Macaca mulatta: one gene and its partner. The protein of the gene in region 1 binds, or shares a complex with, the protein of each later gene. Links are inferred from orthologs where the notes say so. Each region holds a gene or a part of one and is shown on either strand. Other genes may lie near its edges. The genes, in order: EXOSC9 and EXOSC1.

Region 1 (9,790 bases):
AATAAAAAGAAAACAACACTTTTTTACTTTTTTCTGACAATAAAAGCTATTCACATGCCTTACAGAAGATTTGGAAAGTTCATAAAGAAAAAATATCAAAATGAAAAAAAAAAAACTTTTCCCAGACTCCTACCACTCAGAGATAACCATTCTTAATATTTCATCTTATTCCCTTCCAGGATAATTTTTGGGTACACCAAATTCTACACAGACAAATTGTACAGCAGACATATGGTACATAAAATGAGAAACTTTCATTTGTTCACTCATCCACCCAGTTTTTTCCTTTTTTTTTTTTTTTTTGAGATGGAGTCTCACTCTGTCACCCAGGTTGCAGTGCAGTGGCACAATCTCGACTCACTGCAACCTCTGGCTCCCAGGTTCAAGTGATTCTCTAGCCTCAGCCTCCTGAGTAGCTGGGATTACAGGTGTGTGCCACCGTGCCCGGCTAATTTTTGTATTTTTAGTAGAGACAGGGTTTCACCATGTTGGTCAGGCTGGTCTCAAACTCTTGAACTCATATGATCTGCCTGCCTTGGCCTCCCAAAGTACTGAGATTATAGGCATGGCCACGGTGCCCAGGCCTTTTTTTTTTTTTTGAGATGGATTCTTGCTCTATTGTTCAGGATGGAGTGCAGTAGTGTAATCTCAGTTCACTGCAACCTCCACCTTTTGGGTTCAAGTGATTCTCCAGCCTCAGCCTCCTGAGTAGCTGGGATAGGTGTGTGCCACCATGCCCAGCTAATTTTTGTAATTTTAGTGGAGACGGGGGTTTCACCATGTTGGCCAGGCTGGTCTCAAATTCCTGACCTCAAGTGATCTGGCCGCTTTGGCCTCCCAGCGTGCTAAGATTACAGGCGTGAGGCACTGCACCTGGCCTCCACCCATTAATTCTTTCACCAGATATGCTATAATAGGCCATTCATCCTTTTATTCACAAGGTACACTACCAGTCTCAGTGGGTGCTACAAAGGTTGAGAAGACATGGACTTTATATTCTAGTAGAAATGTATTAGAATTCCTTTGGACACACTTTTACAAAGACCAACTCAAATGTATTGGCTCACTAGAATCGCATGGGGTCAGGAAAGTGCATTTCTCCAAGAAATAAAAGGATGCTGGTCAGACAAAGCAACTGATGTTCAATAAAGAGAATGCATACTCAAATAGTTTGTTGAGAACTAGGTTATTTTTAGACAGATCATCCAGATTAACATGCTGATTCAAATTGATTCTTCTTTTAAGAACAGAAAGTAAGGCCAAGTGCGGTGGCTCACGCCTCTAATCCCTGCACTTTGGGAGGCCAAGGTGGGCAAATCACCTGAAGTCAGGAGTTTGAAACCAGCCTGACCAACACGGTGAAACCCCGTCTCTACTAAAAATACAAAAATTAGCCAGGTGTGGTGGCGCATGCCTACAGTCCCAGCTACCCGGGAGGCTGAGGCAGAAGAATTTCTTTAACCTGGGAGGTGGAGGTTGCAGTGAGCCAAGATCATGCCGCTACACTCCAGCCTGGGTGACAGAGTGAGACTGTCTGGAAAAAAAAAAAAAAAAATAGAATGTATCACATTATCTGAACTTCTTCTTAATCTTCCAAACCTATTTTTCCCTGAAATCATGAAACAAATTTTCCTTTGGCATTCAAAAATTTCTTATAAACACAAGGTTGTAAAGTAGATATATTTTATGATGGTATGTAGTAGTAAGTGGAGATGGGTCATACACGTTTGGATTAACTCAAAAATAAAAAGACAAAAGCAGGAGTGTTAAAATTAGAATATAAAAGTGAAAGTAGAAAAGAACAGTGGAAATCCAACAAAAGTGGAAGGAAAGCAAAGTAATCAAGCAGCAATCTCAGAAAAGCAATCTGTCATACTGAGTTTGGGCAGTTGCATGGGAAGCCTTTGCCAAGCCAACAAGGAAGGAGGAAACTAACATTTGAATAGCTATCATGTCCAAAATGTTTCATTAGATACTTTCATTCAGACCACTTAACACAGAGTAATTGTTACTTCCAATCTGAAGATACAGAACTCCCAAATAAGAAAGATTATTTAGCTCACTCCAAGTCCATTTGAGCTGAAGTTTATCTGAAGCCAAAGTCCATTCTCTTTCCATTACCAAGCTGCCTTGCAGGAAGTAACACGCTATTTCAACAAAGGCCTATTTCATTGCTGAAGGGAAAAATTACCAAATGGCCACTGAAAGAACCCAAGGATTTAAATGAAGAACTTATCTACCAGCAGTTCTGGTGTGAAACTGTATAATAAAAATGAACTTATGTTGTTAAAGAACTTAAGTGGTTAGTACCCTGTAATCCCCTTGCCGATTTTGAAAATTAATCATTTCTGTCCACTTTCCTCCTTCTTCACAATTTCTGTCTCCAGACCATGTGGAGCTCATCCCATTTCAGTTTTTGCATATGTTACTCTTTCTGCTTGAAACACTTTTCCTCTCCAGATGGCATCAAGGGTGCTCCTGCTCAACACCAAAGATTTACTTTACTTAAATGTCAGCTCTACAAAGTCACCTGTTCCTGCAACTACCCCTATTAAGATAGCATTCCTATTCTCAGAGAGCACTTACCATTGTGTGAAATTGTTCTATTTGTTTAGGGTTTTTTTGTCTTTCCAAAAAGAATGTAAATTCCTTGAGAGAAAGGATCTTGTCTACCCTGTTTCTCCAGCACTTAAATTATTCTTGGACAGAGTAGGCCCTCTTCAAGTATTTATTGAGTACATGGATTGCAAGTGGTACAAAGTGAGACTAAAATGTATCACTGGTAGAAATAACGTGTGAGAAGCTACCAAAGAAGCCAAAGAGAGACTGCGTAGGAGTTACAGTGCCTACCACCTCTAAAGCAAAAGGAAACAAAATAATAATATGCAAACACTTAAATAGTGCTTACTCCATGCCAGGCACCGTTCTAAACATTTTATGTATCTATTCACTCATTTTATTCCTCATAATAAATAGGTTTCTCACTCCCCGCCGCCCTCTTTTTTTTTTTTTTTTTTTGCAGGTGAGTAATGTGAAGCACACAGGTTAACTTGCCCAGGGTTATAGTAGTTAACGACAGACTTAAAATTTGAACCCTGGCAGTGAACACTTTTTAAAAGTACTATTTGATACTGCCTCTCCAAAAAAGCTGATTGGTTGGCAGCATGGCCCAGCTAAGGTTTCTCTGTGACCATAAAAATAAGTCTATCGACTTAAAATAACTGGAGAGGGGATGAGAAATAAACGGTACATTTAGTTTCAGCCCACAGAAGTAGTAACATCATTGGTTATTACGTGCGAAAGTTCTCCATTCTCATCAACTTCTCAGATCCCACAAAATTTCACCTTTGGCCACAAAAACATCCCATTTCACCATCTTAACTTTCTCCCGCAACCCTTATGCCGCCTCATTCCAGTGTTTGTTCATTTAATATGCTCCAAATCCTGCATCTGCGGCTTTCTAGGGGCCAATGTCAACTCATCTGTGAAATTGCAGTAGTATCTCTCTAGTCTCCACCCCGCAAGAGGACTGAGCGAACGGTGAAGTGTGAGAGCGGTCTACTGATATTAATTTCTACCACTCTGATGGTTATTTTGAGTATCCTTTTCTCCTCCGCATTTTATGAGAAAAGAAACGCAATTTCACGTTCAGAAACGCCCTCCCTAAGCCGCACTGGCTTCTTGCTGACCGCTGGCCCGCCCCAATCACGCTTTGAGTCTGCGCAGTAGCGACTGCCCAAGCCCTTGCCTATTTCCTGCCGCCGCGTTTTGATGACGAAATTTTCCTGCGCCTCGGGACCGGCAGCGGCGCGTAAGGAAAAGTCAGTTTCCGTTTTTCCCGCGGATTCTGGTGCCTGTGGGGCCGGTGACCCAATACCATGAAGGAAACGCCACTCTCAAACTGCGAACGCCGCTTCCTACTCCGTGCCATCGAAGAAAAGAAGGTATGGTTTGGTCCCCGCAGAATTGCGCGCTGCATGGGCGCCCGGGTCTCAAGGTGTGGACTCATACCTGGTCCGCCTGGGCCGGGGGAGCCATTAGGGGAACGACCGGCACGTTCACCCCATTCCCCAGGCTTTATTTTTTTTCGACAGGTTCTTTTCGAGTCTCTAGTCACCCCAGCAGTTGTCCGTGCTGTAGTTTCCACTTTCTTGTATGGGCGGGGTGGTTAGGATTCCACTTTCCCCCAAGTGCTTAGCCCAGGGCCAGACAAAAAGTAGTTGCTTAAGACATACTTGTTGAAGGAATAAATGAATGAATGAATTTGTGCTTAACAGCGGCTGGATGGCAGACAAACCTATGATTATAGGAACATCAGGATCTCATTTGGAACAGATTACGGATGCTGCATTGTGGAACTTGGCAAAACAAGGTAACAGGATTTAAATGAGATAACACATTGAAAAGGGAGAAGTTTGAAAAAAGACCTTATTGACTCGGTTGTTTATAAAGCAGCTAAGAAGTCTGCACAGTATTCTTTGTTTAGCTGACAAAAATAAGTATTTTTTATGCAAGATTTTTTGATTTTGTGGTCACACTTGAACTTTTTAATCATAAACGTATTTTCTGTCACCTATCACATAGTTCTGACTTCTGTAAATCGTGTAGACAACCAGTAGTGCTCATATCGAATTTGTTTCTCACACTAATACAGAGATCTTGAGCATCTTGTCATTAAGTGTACATCCTGATTTCCTGTTTTTCGAGTGACATGAAAGTTAGGTTTTCAAATATTCATTTGAAAGTTGTAAGGCTATTTGGTCAGTTAATGGTGGTGAACTATGGCATGTGAAAACACTTAAATATCAAGTTTTCATGCCATCTTGTATCAATAAATACTTGCTTTAGAGGTAAAGGTCATTGATTTTTTAGAACAATCTGTGGAATAGTAAACATTGTAATAAGAAGAGAGGTGTTTTTTCTGTCGTGTTTTTAGTTGCACCAATTTATGTTTTATTTCTGTGTATATTATACTTTACATATATTTTTTACTTTCTATGATTTATCTGGCTTACTATGATATTACTCACATTAAGATTGAAACTTGTGATCTGTTTCAGATTTTTTTTTTTTGGAAGGAGAGTCTATTTAGTTAATACTTTGTACTTTATCTTTGCAGAGTTCTTGGACAGGTTTCCTGTGAACTTGTGTCTCCAAAACTCAATAGGGCAACAGAAGGTATTCTTTTTTTTAACCTTGAACTCTCTCAGATGGCTGCTCCAGCTTTCGAACCTGGCAGGTATTTAAATCTTTTTCTTAAGCTGCTTTAGTCATAGGAGAACCTAACAGCAATGAGCTTTTGTTTTAATACCAGGTGTTATATTTCATGACAGTAGCCCATTCCTATTTTCTTATTATAGGCAGTCAGATCTCTTGGTGAAGTTGAATCGACTCTTGGAAAGATGTCTAAGAAATTCGAAGTGTATAGACACTGAATCTCTCTGTGTTGTTGCTGGTGAAAAGGTGGGGAATATGCCCATAATTCTTAATCTTAGGATGAATACTGTTGATTCATGGATCCCGGTGTCTGAGCTTTTATTCTCAGAACTTTAGTCAACTCAAGTTTTGTACTGATTCACTTCACTTCAGATGTTCTTGAGTGATACCCTTAGAACTTTGTGCCACCTCTATCTCTCTGAAGGGATAAAAAGCATTATTCTAAAAGGGTGAAAATAGCAACTTAGATTTTTGTGTAAAAATATTTTATTCAAAGAATTTGTGGCTTTTTCATATAATCTCATTTTCTTATCTGCGTTCATAGAAGCAGGTGTTCATAGAAGCAGGTAGTTTTTCATGCAGAACTCAAGAACAGAAGAAATCCTTCATTTGGATAGGTTTATCGAGTTACACAGGGCCACACCATGTCAGTGGCAGGGATAATTTTGAAAATCTTAGTCCCAATAAATTGTGCTGCATTAGGATATTAGACTTTTATTCTTTTTTTTTTTTTGAGACAGAGTCTCACTCTGTTGCCCAGACTGGAGTGCAGTGGTATAATCTCAGCTCACTGCATCCTCTGCCTCCCCTGTTCAAGCAATTCTCCCACTCAGCTTTCTGAGCAGCTGGAACTACAGGCATCTGCCACCACACCCGGCTAATTTTTGTATTTTTAGTAGAGACAGAGTTTCACCATCAGACTGGTCTTGAACTCCAGACCTCAAGTGATCCACCCACCTTGGCCTCCCAAAGTGCTGGGATTATAGGCGTGAGCTACTGTGCCTGGCCAGAATTTGATTCTTGATTAGGGTATTTTGACAAGCATTTTTATTCCAGAGAAGTCATTTAGCTTTCCATATTCCATACCTAAGTATAATACTTCCTATTTGCATTACTTGTAAAGTTATTAAAAATATCACAAAACCTAAAAGGTTAACGTTTTTTAATTTTTGAAAATATTCATTATTTTCTGTTAGGGACAGTGACACTTTCATCCAGGCAGGAGTGCAGTGGTGTTATTATAGCTCACTGTAACCTTAAACTCCTGGGCTCAAGGGATCCTCTCTCCTTAGCCTCCCGAATAGCTAGGACTACAGGCGCATGCCACTCCACCCAGCTAACTAAAAAACTTTTTTTTTTTTCGTAGAGATAGGGTCTTGCTGTGTTGCCCAGGCTGGTCTCGAACTCCTAGGCTCAAGCAATTCTCCCATCTTCGCCTCCCAAAGTGCTGGGATTACAGGTGAATGCCACTGTGCCTGACCTAGAGTTTGTGGTTTTTAACAGACATGATAAAAATGTAATTAGATTTGAGGTTAGGAAAATCTTAGTATTAAACATTAGAGTAGTTCTGTCTATTTAAAGTATGTGTTCTACGATTAAACGACTCACATAGTATTTCAGATGTTTGGCTTAAATTTTCTAAAATACATTTTTTGTTAACAAACTAGAAGGAGTAACTGCATGTTTTAACAGCAAGAAAAATTACTTTGTGCACAATGTTACTTTTCTTGATAAATAGCCACTGGTTGTAATCAGGATTTATTTTATTTTAAATTCACTATCAGGTTTGGCAAATACGTGTAGACCTACATTTATTAAATCATGATGGAAATATTATTGATGCTGCCAGCATTGCTGCAATTGTGGCTTTATGTCACTTCCGAAGACCTGATGTCTCTGTCCAAGGAGATGAAGTAACACTGGTAAGCTCTTATGTGAACCAGGATCCTTGATACGAATGAATGAGGAGGGTCCTAAATGTGCAGGAAACTTGTTTTTAGTGAAGTTATGTTGTAGATGGCAATTGGGTAGGTTCTAAAAATTTGTTCATAAGACTAAAACTGCATATGGTCAAAATTGCCCTTGAAATCTCTTAACAGTTCCTCTATTGAAACATTTGTCAGTAAGAACATACCGTAGCATGGTTTTCCAGAATAGAATTAGATGACTATTTTGGATTGAGCATTAGATGAAGTGTTTGACTTATGTTTAAGGGCCATATGTGTGAAAAATAAATGAATCTCAGCACAGTGAGATGCTTACCCTGCAAGAGGTATGCAATAGCTGAAAAGCACTGAGGAATCAGCAGATTCATATTTGTCTCCAGGATGTTTGTTCATTAGGCAAAGAGCTGATGAAAGTCCATCAGAAATACCCGGAGGGCTTGTTAAAACATATTGCTAGACTCTACTCCCAAAGTGAAACAGGGCTACGACTTAAGAATTTGTACTTTTAACTTTGAGTTCTTAGGTAATACTGATGTTGCTGGTCCAGGGAGCACATTTTGAAAACCATTGACCTACATTTTCTTTATCTTTTGTTCTGAGTATGTCAGTTTTAATTTATATAAATTACTTGCTAGAATAATGAAAGTGCACCGTAGTTGTAGTTTGAATCCTGAAGTTGCAAAAGGACACATCAGATGCCCAGATTTTCTAAACAATGATTCATAATTTTGCTTTTGGGCAGTAGACTGGAGCAGAACCGTTAAAAAGTGAGAAGTAGGGACAAAGGTTTATTAACAGTAGAGGTAATATTCTTTTAGAGGAGGGAGTTTATATAAGGAAGTGAAAAAAAGTAGAAAGCGATTACTACACTTGAAAGATCAATTAAAGAATACTGTGGTGTTCTTGCTAGTGGGAATGTAAAATGGTACAGCCATGTTGGAAAAGTTTGGCAGCTTTCTTAAGTTTTAAGTGTAGACAACATTCTATATTCAGAAAAATAACATTAGAAGGAAATACTCTTTTTTTTTTTTTTTTTGAGACAGGGTCTCACTCTGTTGTCCAGGCTGGGGTGCAGTGGCATGATCTCGGCTCACTGTACCCTCTGCCTCTTGAACTTAAGCAATCCTCCCTCCTCAGTCTCTTGAGTAGCGGGGACTACAGGTGTGTGCCACCCGCTTGACTAATTTTTGTGTTTTTTGTAGAGATATGGTTTCACCAAATTGCCCAGGCTGGTCTTGAACTCCTGGGCTCAAGTGATTCTCCCACCTCGGCCTCCCAAAGTGTTGGGATTACAGGCATGAGCCACCATGGCCAGCTGAAAATACTCCTCTCTTATATGTACATCTTTCAGCAGATTTAACCTTGTAAATTTTTTTTTTTTTTTTTTTTTTGAGACAAGAGTTTCACTCTTGTTGCCCGGGCTGGAGTACAATGATGTGATCTCAACCCACTGCAACATCTGCCTCCCGGGTTCAAGCGATTTTCCTGCCTCAGCCTCCCAAGTAGCTGGAACTATAGGCATGCACAACCACGCCTGGCTAATTTTGTATTTTTAGTAGAGACAGGGTTTCTCCATGTTGGTCAGGCTGGTCTCGAAGTCCCCACCTCGCCTGCATCGGCCTTCCGAAGTGCTGGGATTACAGATGTGAGCCACCGCCCCCGGCCGACTTTATAATATTAAGACAAATTGCAATGGCTTAAAATTGGAAAAAAAAAAAATTCTAGCAATTCCATGCCTAAGAATCTACAGGAGGAATAAGAGCTTATTGTGTTCAGAGACTTGAATGCAAATATTCATAGCATCATGTATTAGCCAGAAACTGGAAACAATTCGAATGTCCAGCTGGTGAGTAGATAAATAAAATGTCATATATACAAATAATGAAATACTGTTCAGTAATGAAAAGAACTGAGCTACTGACAAATGCTGCAAGGTACATGAAGCATGCTGAGTTGAAAGAAGCCAGGCGCAAAACATTACAATTTTTTTTTCCATTTATATAGAATGCTCAGAAAGTCAGATTTACAGAGACAGAAATAAGATAGATCAGTGGTTCCTTGGGGCTAGGGTGGGAGTACACCAGACTCCTATGGACTACAGACAGATTCAAAGGAATTTTGGGGAGTAATGGAAATGTTAAAAAACTAGATTGTGGTGATGAGTCCATAAATATATCCATAACTACACATTTACTAAAAATTGAATCATATACTTAAAATGAGTGGGTTTTGGCTGAGCGCGGTGGCTCACACCTGTAATGCCAGCACTATGAGTGGCCGAGGCAGGTGGATCACCTGAGGTCAGGAGTTTAAGACCAGCCTGACCAATGTGGATAAACCCCGTCTCTACTAAAAATACAAAATTAGCCTGGCATGGTGGCACATGCCTGTAATCCCAGCTACTCGGGAGGCTGAGACACGAGAATCGCTTGAACCCGGGAGGGGCAGGTTGCGGTAAGCTGAGATTGTACCACTGCACTCCAGCCTGGGCAACAAACTTCGTCTCAAAAAAAAAGTGGATTTTATGGGATGTAAATTATATGTATGTCAGTAAATTTTTGAAAAAGGTTTTTGAAGAAGTTGTACAGTTTGAGGAACATGAGTGGCAAAATCAAACAGGTAATTAT
Region 2 (9,180 bases), on another chromosome or scaffold:
TAATTTTGGCCAGCACGGCGGCACACACCTGTAATCCCAGCACTTTGGGAGGCTGAGGATCACTTGAGGCCAGGAGTTTGAGACTGGCCTGGGCAACATAGCAAGACCTGGTCTCTACAAAAAAAATTAGCCAGGCATGGTGGTATGTGCCTGTAGTCCCAGCTACCCAGGGGACTGATGTGGGGGAATTACGTGAGTCCAGGAGTTTGAGGCTGCAGTAAGCTATGACTGCACCACTGCGCTTCATCCTGGGTGACATTCTGAGGCCCTGTCTCTTTAAAAATTGCATGTACAACAAACAAAAACACCAAGGCCGGGCATGGTGGCTGATGCCTATAAGCCCAGCATTTTGGGAGGCCAAGGCAGGTGGATCACCTGAGGTCAGGAGTTCAAGACCAGTCTGGCCAACATGGTGAAACCTCATCTCTACCAAAAGTTAGCTGGGAATGGTGGTGCATGCCTGTACTCCCAGCTACCGGGAAAGCAGAAGCTGCAGTGAGTTGAGATCGCGCCACTGCACTCCAGCCTAGGTAACAGCAAGACTCTGTCTCAAAAACAAACAAACAACAAAACCTGGATGTGGATCTACAATGATCTTAATCTCGGTAAAATTTTCAATTAAAGAAACCCTAACGTTCAAGCTTAGGAAGCAGAGGATAGAAACTAAGGTGGGCTGATTCTAAAGCTCACATTATGCACTGTCACTAATACTGAAGAGATGGGCTTCTTGAGTAACATCTCAAGAAGTGACATCTCAAGACTCGTATTTTGTCGGCAACCTCTCCATGCTTAACTTTCATCCCTTCCTCATCCCCAAACTTATGCCTTAATTTCTGCTTCTGTACTTAGCCTGGGCTTGTCTCTCTGCCTTGAATATATTCACTTACTTATGTTCTTTAATTTATTTTTATCTCATGTCACTAATCCTTTCCTGGCCACCTCATATGACAGTACTCTGTCCCACTTTTCAATTCAGATTAAACATTTCCTGGAGTACCCACTATATCAGTAATGTGTATCAAATACTTTTAGACATGTTACTTATTTTTTTTGAGACAAGAGTCTCGCTCTGTTGTCCGGGCTGGAGTATAGTGGCACAATCTCGGCTCACTACAACTTCCACGTCCAGGGTTCAAGTGATCTTCCTGCCTCAGCTTCCCGAGTAGTTGGGATTACAGGCACGTGCCACCACGCCCGGCTAATTTTTGTATTTTTAGTAAAGATGGGGTTTTACCACGTTGGCCGGGCTGGTCTCGAACTCCTGACTTCAACCTAACTCGGCCTCCCAAAGTGTTGGGATTTACAAGCATGAGCCACCACGTCCGCCTCACATGCTATCTGTATCACATGTGTCCTCAAATTTTCATTAGACCATAATGTACCTGAATGAAGGGGATGTATGTAAAGCACTTGACTCAGTGCCTAGCACAGTGAGTACTCAATAAGCAGAAGTACTGAAATGTCCTGACACCATTTAGACGTCTTTCTCTGCTTAAGACAACTATAACATCCTTTTAGTAAAAAAGTTTTATCATAACAAAAAATAGGTATTTATAAGGACTGTCAGGGGGGATAGGCTATTTCCAATATCACAGTTTTGTTAGGCTATTTCCAATATCACAGTTTTGTTTGTTGGTGCCTTGAAAAGATAAGTTTTATTACTCAAGAGAATGAAATCCACTGATAGGTTCACAGAAACGTGTTCCATCTATAGCCTAAGTTTCTGGCAGATTTTTCTGGAAGAGGCTGTTGGCCGACGCCAGGTGTTTGAATAGACAGCAGCATCTTGGTGTTATACTCAGGAACAGCTTACCCCCTTCCATGGGGTAAAAAGTGGCTTCTTAGGTCTGCAAGAATTCAGGTTGTACTCGGGCTACTTTCCGGAATTCTTTAGTGTGGGTCTTAGGGCACTGCATCTCACACCAGCTGATGGGAACCATCTGGATACCTGGAAGGGAAAAACTGGTGGAGCCCAGATCCCAAAGATTTGCCTGGGACTCCTCTTTTATGCTGGGTATGAAACTGAAGTGCCACCAAGCTTCCTACTGAACCTCAACTCACAAAGAAAAAACTTTGTTCTACTGACTTATGGAGTCCCGTTTCCTTGGATTTATATAAGGAGAATCAGGCTGGGTGTGGTGGCTCACACCTACAATCTCAGCACTTTGGGAGGCCAAGGCGGGCAGATCATTTGAGGCCAGGAGTTTGAGACCAGTCTGGCCAACATGGCGAAACCCCGTCTCTACTAAAAATACAAAAATTAGCTAGGTGTGGTGGCGTGTATCTGTAATCCCAGTTACTTGGGTGATGAGAATTGCCTGAACCCGGGAGGTGAAGGCTGTGGTGAGTGGAGATCGCACCACTGCACTCCAGCCTCCTCGACACAGTGAGACCCAGTCTCAAACCACCACCACCACCACCGGCACCAAGCAAAGAAGAAAAAAAAAATCATTCTAATCTCAGAAGGAAATATCTACAGCCATACTGCTTCCCAGATAAGGGAAACCAGGAAAAACAATGGATTAATCCCAAACCATAGCTCCAGGGAAAGTAAGGATGTGGAAGCAAGGCCATCTCACCTGACTCACTGTGGGCTACCACTACTCCCAGCTCGTTCTCGGCAGTGGTTAGCAGGTAGTTGGACTGTGCATCACCTAGGGAGATCTAGTCACATAACACTGAAGGAAAATGAGGAGTTAGAAGTCTTCCCCCAACCTTAGCCAGCTGAGTTGTTTTTCTACTTTCTCTGTTTTGTTTTTTTGAGACGGAGTCTTGCTCTGTTACCCAGGCTGGAGAGCAGTGGCGCGATCTCAGCTCACAGCAACCTGTGCCTCCAGCGTTCCAGCGGTTCTCCTGCCTCAGTTTCCCGAGTAGCTGAGATTACAGCCATGCGCCACCACGTCCAGCTAATTTTTGTATTTTCAGTAGAGACAGGGTTTCACCATGTTGGGCCAGGCTGGTCTCGAACTCCTGACCTCAGGTGATCCACCCGCCTTGGCCTCCCAAAGTGCTGGGATTACAGGCATGAGCCACCACGCCCAGCCTCCATCTCTTCTTTTGACAAAAACCCAGAAGTCTGCTGGGAATAAAGGATACCACTTTGGCCAAGACAATGTCACCTGGGCGGAAACTCTTATAAATTTCAACCTGTAAAGAAAGAACAGGAATGGTAAGTGAAAGTTCTAGACAGGGTCTATATGAAACTGTGAACCCTTCTGGTAAAGCCAGTCTACTTTCTAATCCTGGAGGGTAGAAATCATCATTACTCATGTCAAGTCAACAACTTTTAATTGCTTCTATAGTATTATCATACAAATGAAAAGTTGTTTTTTTTTTTTTTTTTTTTTTTTTTGAGATGGAGTCTCGCTCTGTTGCCCAGGCTGGAGTGCAGTGGTACGATCTTGGCTCACTGCAACCTCCACCTCCCAGGTTCAAGCGATTCTCCTGCCTTAGCCTCCTGAGTAGCTGGGATTACAGGCGCGCAGCATGACGCTGGCTAGTTTTTGTATTTTTAGTAGAGATGGGGTTTCACCATGTTGGTCAGACTGGTCTTGAACTCCTGAGCTCGTGATCTGCCTGCCTTGGCCTTCCAAAAAGCTGGGATTACAGGTGTGCGCCACCGCACCCAGCCCTTTTTTGTTAAGGGTGGAATCCCACTGTGTCACCCAGGCTGGAGTGCAGTGATGCAATGGTAGCTCACTGCAGCCTTGGACTGCTGGACCAAGGGATCCTCCTGCCTCAGCCTCCCAAGTAGCTAGGACTACAGGTTTGTGCCACCACATAACCTCAAACTCCTGGGCTCAAGCAATCCTCCAGCCACATCCTCTCAAGCAGCTATGACTACAAGCATGAGCCACCATGCCCGCTAATTTTTAATTTTTAAAATTTTTGTAGAGACAGGGTCTCACTGTGTTGCCAGGGCTGGTCTTGAAGTCCTGGCCTCAAGTGATCCTCCCGCCTCAGCCTCCCAAAGTACTGGGATTACAGGTGTGTGCAACCATGCCTGGTCTGAGATAATACTTTTAAGGGATTGAGATTTGTAAAGCCGTTAAAAAAAGAGAACCAACCAACAACCTTGTCTTTTTCAGTTGCTCGGACATCTTCCTTGCTATAAAAAAAGAATTAACAGAAAGATTAATTATCTGTGAGAAAGAATTTTTTTTTTTTTTTTTTTTTTTAAAGACAGAGTCTCCCTCTGTCACCCAGGCTGGAGTACAGTGGCACGATCTCGGCTCACTGCAACCTCCGCCTCCTGGCTTCAGGCATTTTTCATGCCTCAGCCTCTCAAGCAGCTGGAATTACAGGCATGTGCTGCCACGCCCGGCTAGTTTTTGTATTTTTAGTGGAGATGGGGTTTCACCACATTGGCCAGGCTGGTCTTGAACTCCTGGCCTCAGGTGATCCACCCGCCTCAGCTTCCCAAAGTGCTGGGATTACAGGCATGAGTCACCTTGCCCAGCCTGTGAGAAAGAATTATTCTGTAGATTCCTAGTAAATAAAGAGCTACAAGAACAGACAGAACAAGTCTTAATTGGGACCCAGCTGCTACTCAGAGGAGCAGGGTGGAGAAGCATCCTCAGACCACACGGAGCAGCAGTATCAATACCTGATTAGATAAAGGCAGATCAGATTTGGCAAGAAACGATAAGGAGTTTTGTTGCCTCAGGGCTTGAACAGAAGCACTATAGCAAGGGTCCCCAACTTCTGGTGGCCTGTTAGGAACCGGGCTGCACAGAAGGAAGTGAGTGGCAAGCAAGCTTCATCTGTATTTACAGCTGCTCCCCAATCACACACATTACTGCCTGAGCTCCGCCCCCTGTCAGATCAAAGTGGGCATTAGATTCTCATAGAAGTATGAACCCTATTGTGAACTGTGCACATGAGGGAGCTAGGTTGCCCACTCATTATGAGAATCTAATGCTTGACGATCTGTCACTGTCTCCCATCACCCCCAGATGGGACCATCGAATTGCAGGGAAAGAAACTCAGGGTTCCCGCTGATTCTACATTATGGTGAGCTGTGTAATTATTTCATTATATATTACAGTGTAATAATAATAGAAATAAAGTACAGCATAAATGTAATGCACTTGAATCATTCTGCAACCACTCCCACCACAGTCTGTGGAAAAACTGTCTTCCAAGAAACTGGTCCCTGGTGCCAAGAAGCTTGGAGATTGCTGCACTACAGAACCACATCAAATCCTGAGGCTGGAAAGGGCCTCAAAAGTTAGATTATCTGCCTGGCAAGAAATGTTTGTCCTTTCTCAAGGAAGCCACAGGAAATCACCGTCTCACTCACAAATCTTTTCAATGTTTTATAACCTCTGAGTTCAATCTATATTAAAATTTTTAAAAAGTGCTTCCTAGAATGCCTTCCACTTTGGTTTGAGTCATCCTGACACTGATAAACTTCAGCTTCACTCAATTCTTTTTGCTTTACTTTTCATTTATTTATTTGTTTTTTGAGACAGGGTCTCACTTTGTCACCCAGGCTGGAGTGCAGTGGTACAATCTCAGCTCACTGCAACCTCCGCCTCCTAGGCTCAAGTGATCTTCCCACTTTAGCTCCACAAGTAGCTGGGACAACAGGTATGCACCACCATGCCCAGCTAATTTTTTTTTTTTTTTTTTTTTAAGAGATGGAGTCTCGCTGTGTACCCTGTGCCGGAGTGCAGTGGCGTGATCTTGGCTCACTGCAACCTCTGCCTCCCGGGTTCAGCCTCCTGAGTAGCTGGGATTACAGGCGCACGCCACCATGTCCGGCTAGTTTTTGTATTTTTAGTAGAGACGTGGTTTCACCATATTGGCCAGGCTGGTCTCAAACTCCTGACTTTGTGATCTGCCCACCTTGGCCTCCCAAAGTGCTAGGATTACAGGTGTGAGCCACTGTGCCCGGCTAATTTTTGTATTTTTTACAGAGACGGTGTTTCACCATGTTGGCTAGGCTGGTCTCAAACTCCTGATCTCAAGAGATCCATCCGCTTCAGCTTCCCAAAGTGCTAGGATTACAGGCATGAACCACTGTGCCCAGCCTTTGCTTTACTTTTAAACCCTCTCTTGTTAATATTTTCCTTTTGTCCTAGCTCATCCACATATTTTTGGATACTACTAGGGGAGAATCAAAGCACAAAGAAGAAAGAAAAATGGGCAAGAGAAAAATAGGAATTGTAACTGTTGCTCAAAATTCTGGTGTCCTAGTCTATCCTAATCTTATTGCAGTTGCTAAGGCATACGTGACAAGGATACTTCTTACCGGATAGTTCCTCGAAAAGAGTTCTTAAGTGGCATGGACCCCACATATAGGATGTGTACTTTGGCAAAGCGTGAATTGATACTAGAGACCTGTGGAATAGAGAAAAGATCAGCATCAGAGTATAAGCAGTTGTCAGCTCAAGGAAGCAGCAACGAACTGGGGATTACTAGGACTTCAATGCAAGCAACCCTACTAAGTAGAGAATTTAAGACAAGTTAACTCCTACTTCTCTGCATAAGTGACACATGTAAAGGGGAATAAGAGCCACTCTGGCCACCTGATAGAGTTACCATGGGAAACAAAGATGGTATGGGTTTTTTTTTGAGACAGAGTTTCGCTCTTGGTGCCCAGGCTGGAGTGCAATGGCGCAATCTTGGCTCACCGCAACCTCTGCCTCCCAGGTTCAAAGAATTCTCCTGCCTCAGCCTCCTGAGGAGCTGGGATTAAAGGCATGCACCACCATGCCTGGCTAATTTTGTATTTTTAGTAGAGACAGGGTTTCTCCATGTTGGTCAGGCTGGTCTCAAACTCCTGACCTCAGGTGATCCGCCTGCCTCGGCCTCCCAAAGTGCCGGGATTATAGACGTCAGCCACCACACCCTGCAGTTTTTTTTTGTTTTTTTTTTTTTTGAGACAGAGTCTTGCTCTGTCACCCAGGCTGGAGTACAGTGGCACGATCTCGGCTCACTGCAAGCTCTGCCTCCCAAGTTCATGCCATTCTCCTGCCTCAGCCTCCCCAGCAGCTGGGACAACAGGCACATGCCGCCACGCCCGGCTAATTTTTTAGTGGAGATGAGGTTTCACCATGTTAGCCAGGATGGTCTCGATCTCCTGACCTTGTGATCCGCCTGCCTCGGCCTCCGAAAGTGGTGGGATTACAGGCGTGAGCCACCACTCCCAGCTTTTTTTTTTTTAGTCTTTTCACAACTTGCCCTTCAGAGAAGTATAGATTTTTTAAAGTATAGATGGCTAACATTGGAAAAAAAAAAAAAAAGGCTGGACACGGTGGCTCATGCCTGTAATCCCAGCACTTTGGGAGGCTGAGGTGGGCACATCACTTGAGGTCAGGAGTTCGGGACCAGCCTGGCCAACCTGGTAAAACCCCATCTGTACTAAAAATACAAAAATTAGCTAGGCGTGGCAGCATACGCCTATAACCCCAGCTACTCGGGAGGCAGAGGCAGTAGAATCACTTGAACCCAAGAGGCAGAGGCTGCAGTGAGCCAAGATCGTGCCACTGCACTCCAGCCTGGGTGACAGAGCAAGGCCCTGCCTCAAAAAAAAAAAAAAAAAATCTAAAAAGGAAAAAAATCAAGGAATGCCAGAAAATAAAAGTCTTTTGCTTCTCTGCAGAAAAAGGTCTCAGCTTCAGATGTTCAAAAATAGGCTTCCCAATCATCCTCTGGCATCCCTGTTTCCCAGACACAGGTAGAAACTCTGTATTCAGAGAATCAGCTCAGTGAAGGAACTACGCATGCCTGACCTTGGCTGCCTTATTATTCTAGAAATCTGTAGACCAGAACAGTCCAGTAAAACTTTATGTAGTGACAGAAAAGTCATGTGCTGACCAGTATAGCAACCACTAGCCACAAGTGGCTACTGAGTACTTGAAATGTGGCTAATGTGACTAAGGAAACCAATTTTATTTTATTTTATTTTATTATTTTTTTTTTTTTGAGAAGGAGTCTCGCTCTGTCGCCCAGGCTGGAGTGCAGTAGCCGGATCTCAGCTCACTGCAAGCTCCGCCTCCCAGGTTCCCGCCATTCTCCTGCCTCAGCCTCCTGAGTAGCTGGGACTACAGGCGCCGCCACTTCGCCCGGCTAATTTTTTTGTATTTTTTTAGTAGAGACGGGGTTTCACCGTGTTAGCCAGGATAGTCTCGATCTCCTGACCTCATGATCCGCCCGTCTCGGCCTCCCAAAGTGCTGGGATTACAGGCGTGAGCCACCGCGCCCAGCCCTTATTTTTGAGAGACAAGTCTTGTCGTTACCCAGGCTGCAGTGATCATGGCTCACTGCAGCCTCAACCCCCTGGGTTCAAGCGATCCTCCTGCCTCAGCCTACCAAGTAGTTGGGACCACAGGCATGTGCTACCATGCCTGGCTAATTTTTTATTTTTATTTATTTATTTATTTATTTATTTATTTATTTATTTAATTTTCAGAGTCTCACTCTGTTGTCCAGGCTGGAGTGCCGTGACGCGGACTCATTGAAACCTCGGCCTCCCGGGTTCAAGCAAATCTCCTGCCTCAGACTCCCGAGTAGCTGGGATTATAGGCATGTGCCACCACATTGAGCTAATTTTTGTATTTTTAGTAGAGATGGGGTTTCATCATGTTAGCCATGATTGGCCAGGCTGGTCTCGAACTCCTGACCTCAGGTGATCTGCCCACCTTGGCCTCCCAAAGTGCTGGGATTACAGGCGTGAGCCACAGTGCCCAGCAATTTTTGATTCTTTTTGTAGAGATGAGGTTTCACTATGTTTCCCAGGCTGGTCTTGAACTCTGGGTTGAAGCAATCCTCCTGCCTCGGCCTCTTTTTTTTTTTTTTCCTTTTTTTTTTTTTTTTTTTGAGACGGAGTCTTGCTCTGTGCCCCAGGCTGGAGTGCAGTGGCACGATCTCGGCTCACTGCAAGCTCCGCCCCACCGGGTTCACGCCATTCTCCTGCCTCAGCCTCCCGAGTAGCTGGGACTACAGGCGCCTGCCACCTCGCCCGGCTAATTTTCTTGTATTTTTAGTAGAGACGGGGTTTCACCGTGTTAGCCAGGATGGTCTCGATCTCCTGACCTCGTGATCCGCCCGTCTCGGCCTCCCAAAGTGCTAGGATTACAGGCTTGAGCCACTGCGCCCGGCCTTTTTTTTTCCTTTGAGACAGAATTTCGCTCTGTTGCCCAGGCTAGAGTGCAGTGGCGTGATCTCAGCTCA

Evidence for each region.
Region 2: EXOSC9 (region 1) and EXOSC1 share a complex: the UniProt entries of both Homo sapiens proteins name them as parts of the RNA exosome core complex. The link is inferred for Macaca mulatta from reciprocal best matches to the Homo sapiens genes EXOSC9 and EXOSC1.

Annotation. Positions count from the first base shown.
Region 1 is NC_133410.1:130,614,622-130,624,411, forward strand, and holds the start of EXOSC9 (exosome complex component RRP45), read left to right. Parts: upstream 1-3,794; 5' UTR 3,795-3,878; coding exon 3,879-3,944; intron 3,945-4,277; coding exon 4,278-4,372; intron 4,373-5,119; coding exon 5,120-5,239; intron 5,240-5,360; coding exon 5,361-5,463; intron 5,464-7,001; coding exon 7,002-7,139; intron 7,140-9,790. UniProt on the Homo sapiens protein: Non-catalytic component of the RNA exosome complex which has 3'->5' exoribonuclease activity and participates in a multitude of cellular RNA processing and degradation events.
Region 2 is NC_133414.1:109,485,870-109,495,049, forward strand, and holds the end of EXOSC1 (exosome complex component CSL4), read right to left. Parts: intron 6,346-9,180; coding exon 6,257-6,345; intron 4,109-6,256; coding exon 4,075-4,108; coding exon of another isoform or gene 4,068-4,074; intron 3,148-4,067; coding exon 3,097-3,147; coding exon of another isoform or gene 3,012-3,096; intron 2,665-3,011; coding exon 2,580-2,664; intron 2,164-2,579; coding exon of another isoform or gene 2,150-2,163; exon of another isoform or gene 1,949-2,149; coding exon 1,842-1,948; 3' UTR 1,605-1,841; downstream 1-1,604. UniProt on the Homo sapiens protein: Non-catalytic component of the RNA exosome complex which has 3'->5' exoribonuclease activity and participates in a multitude of cellular RNA processing and degradation events.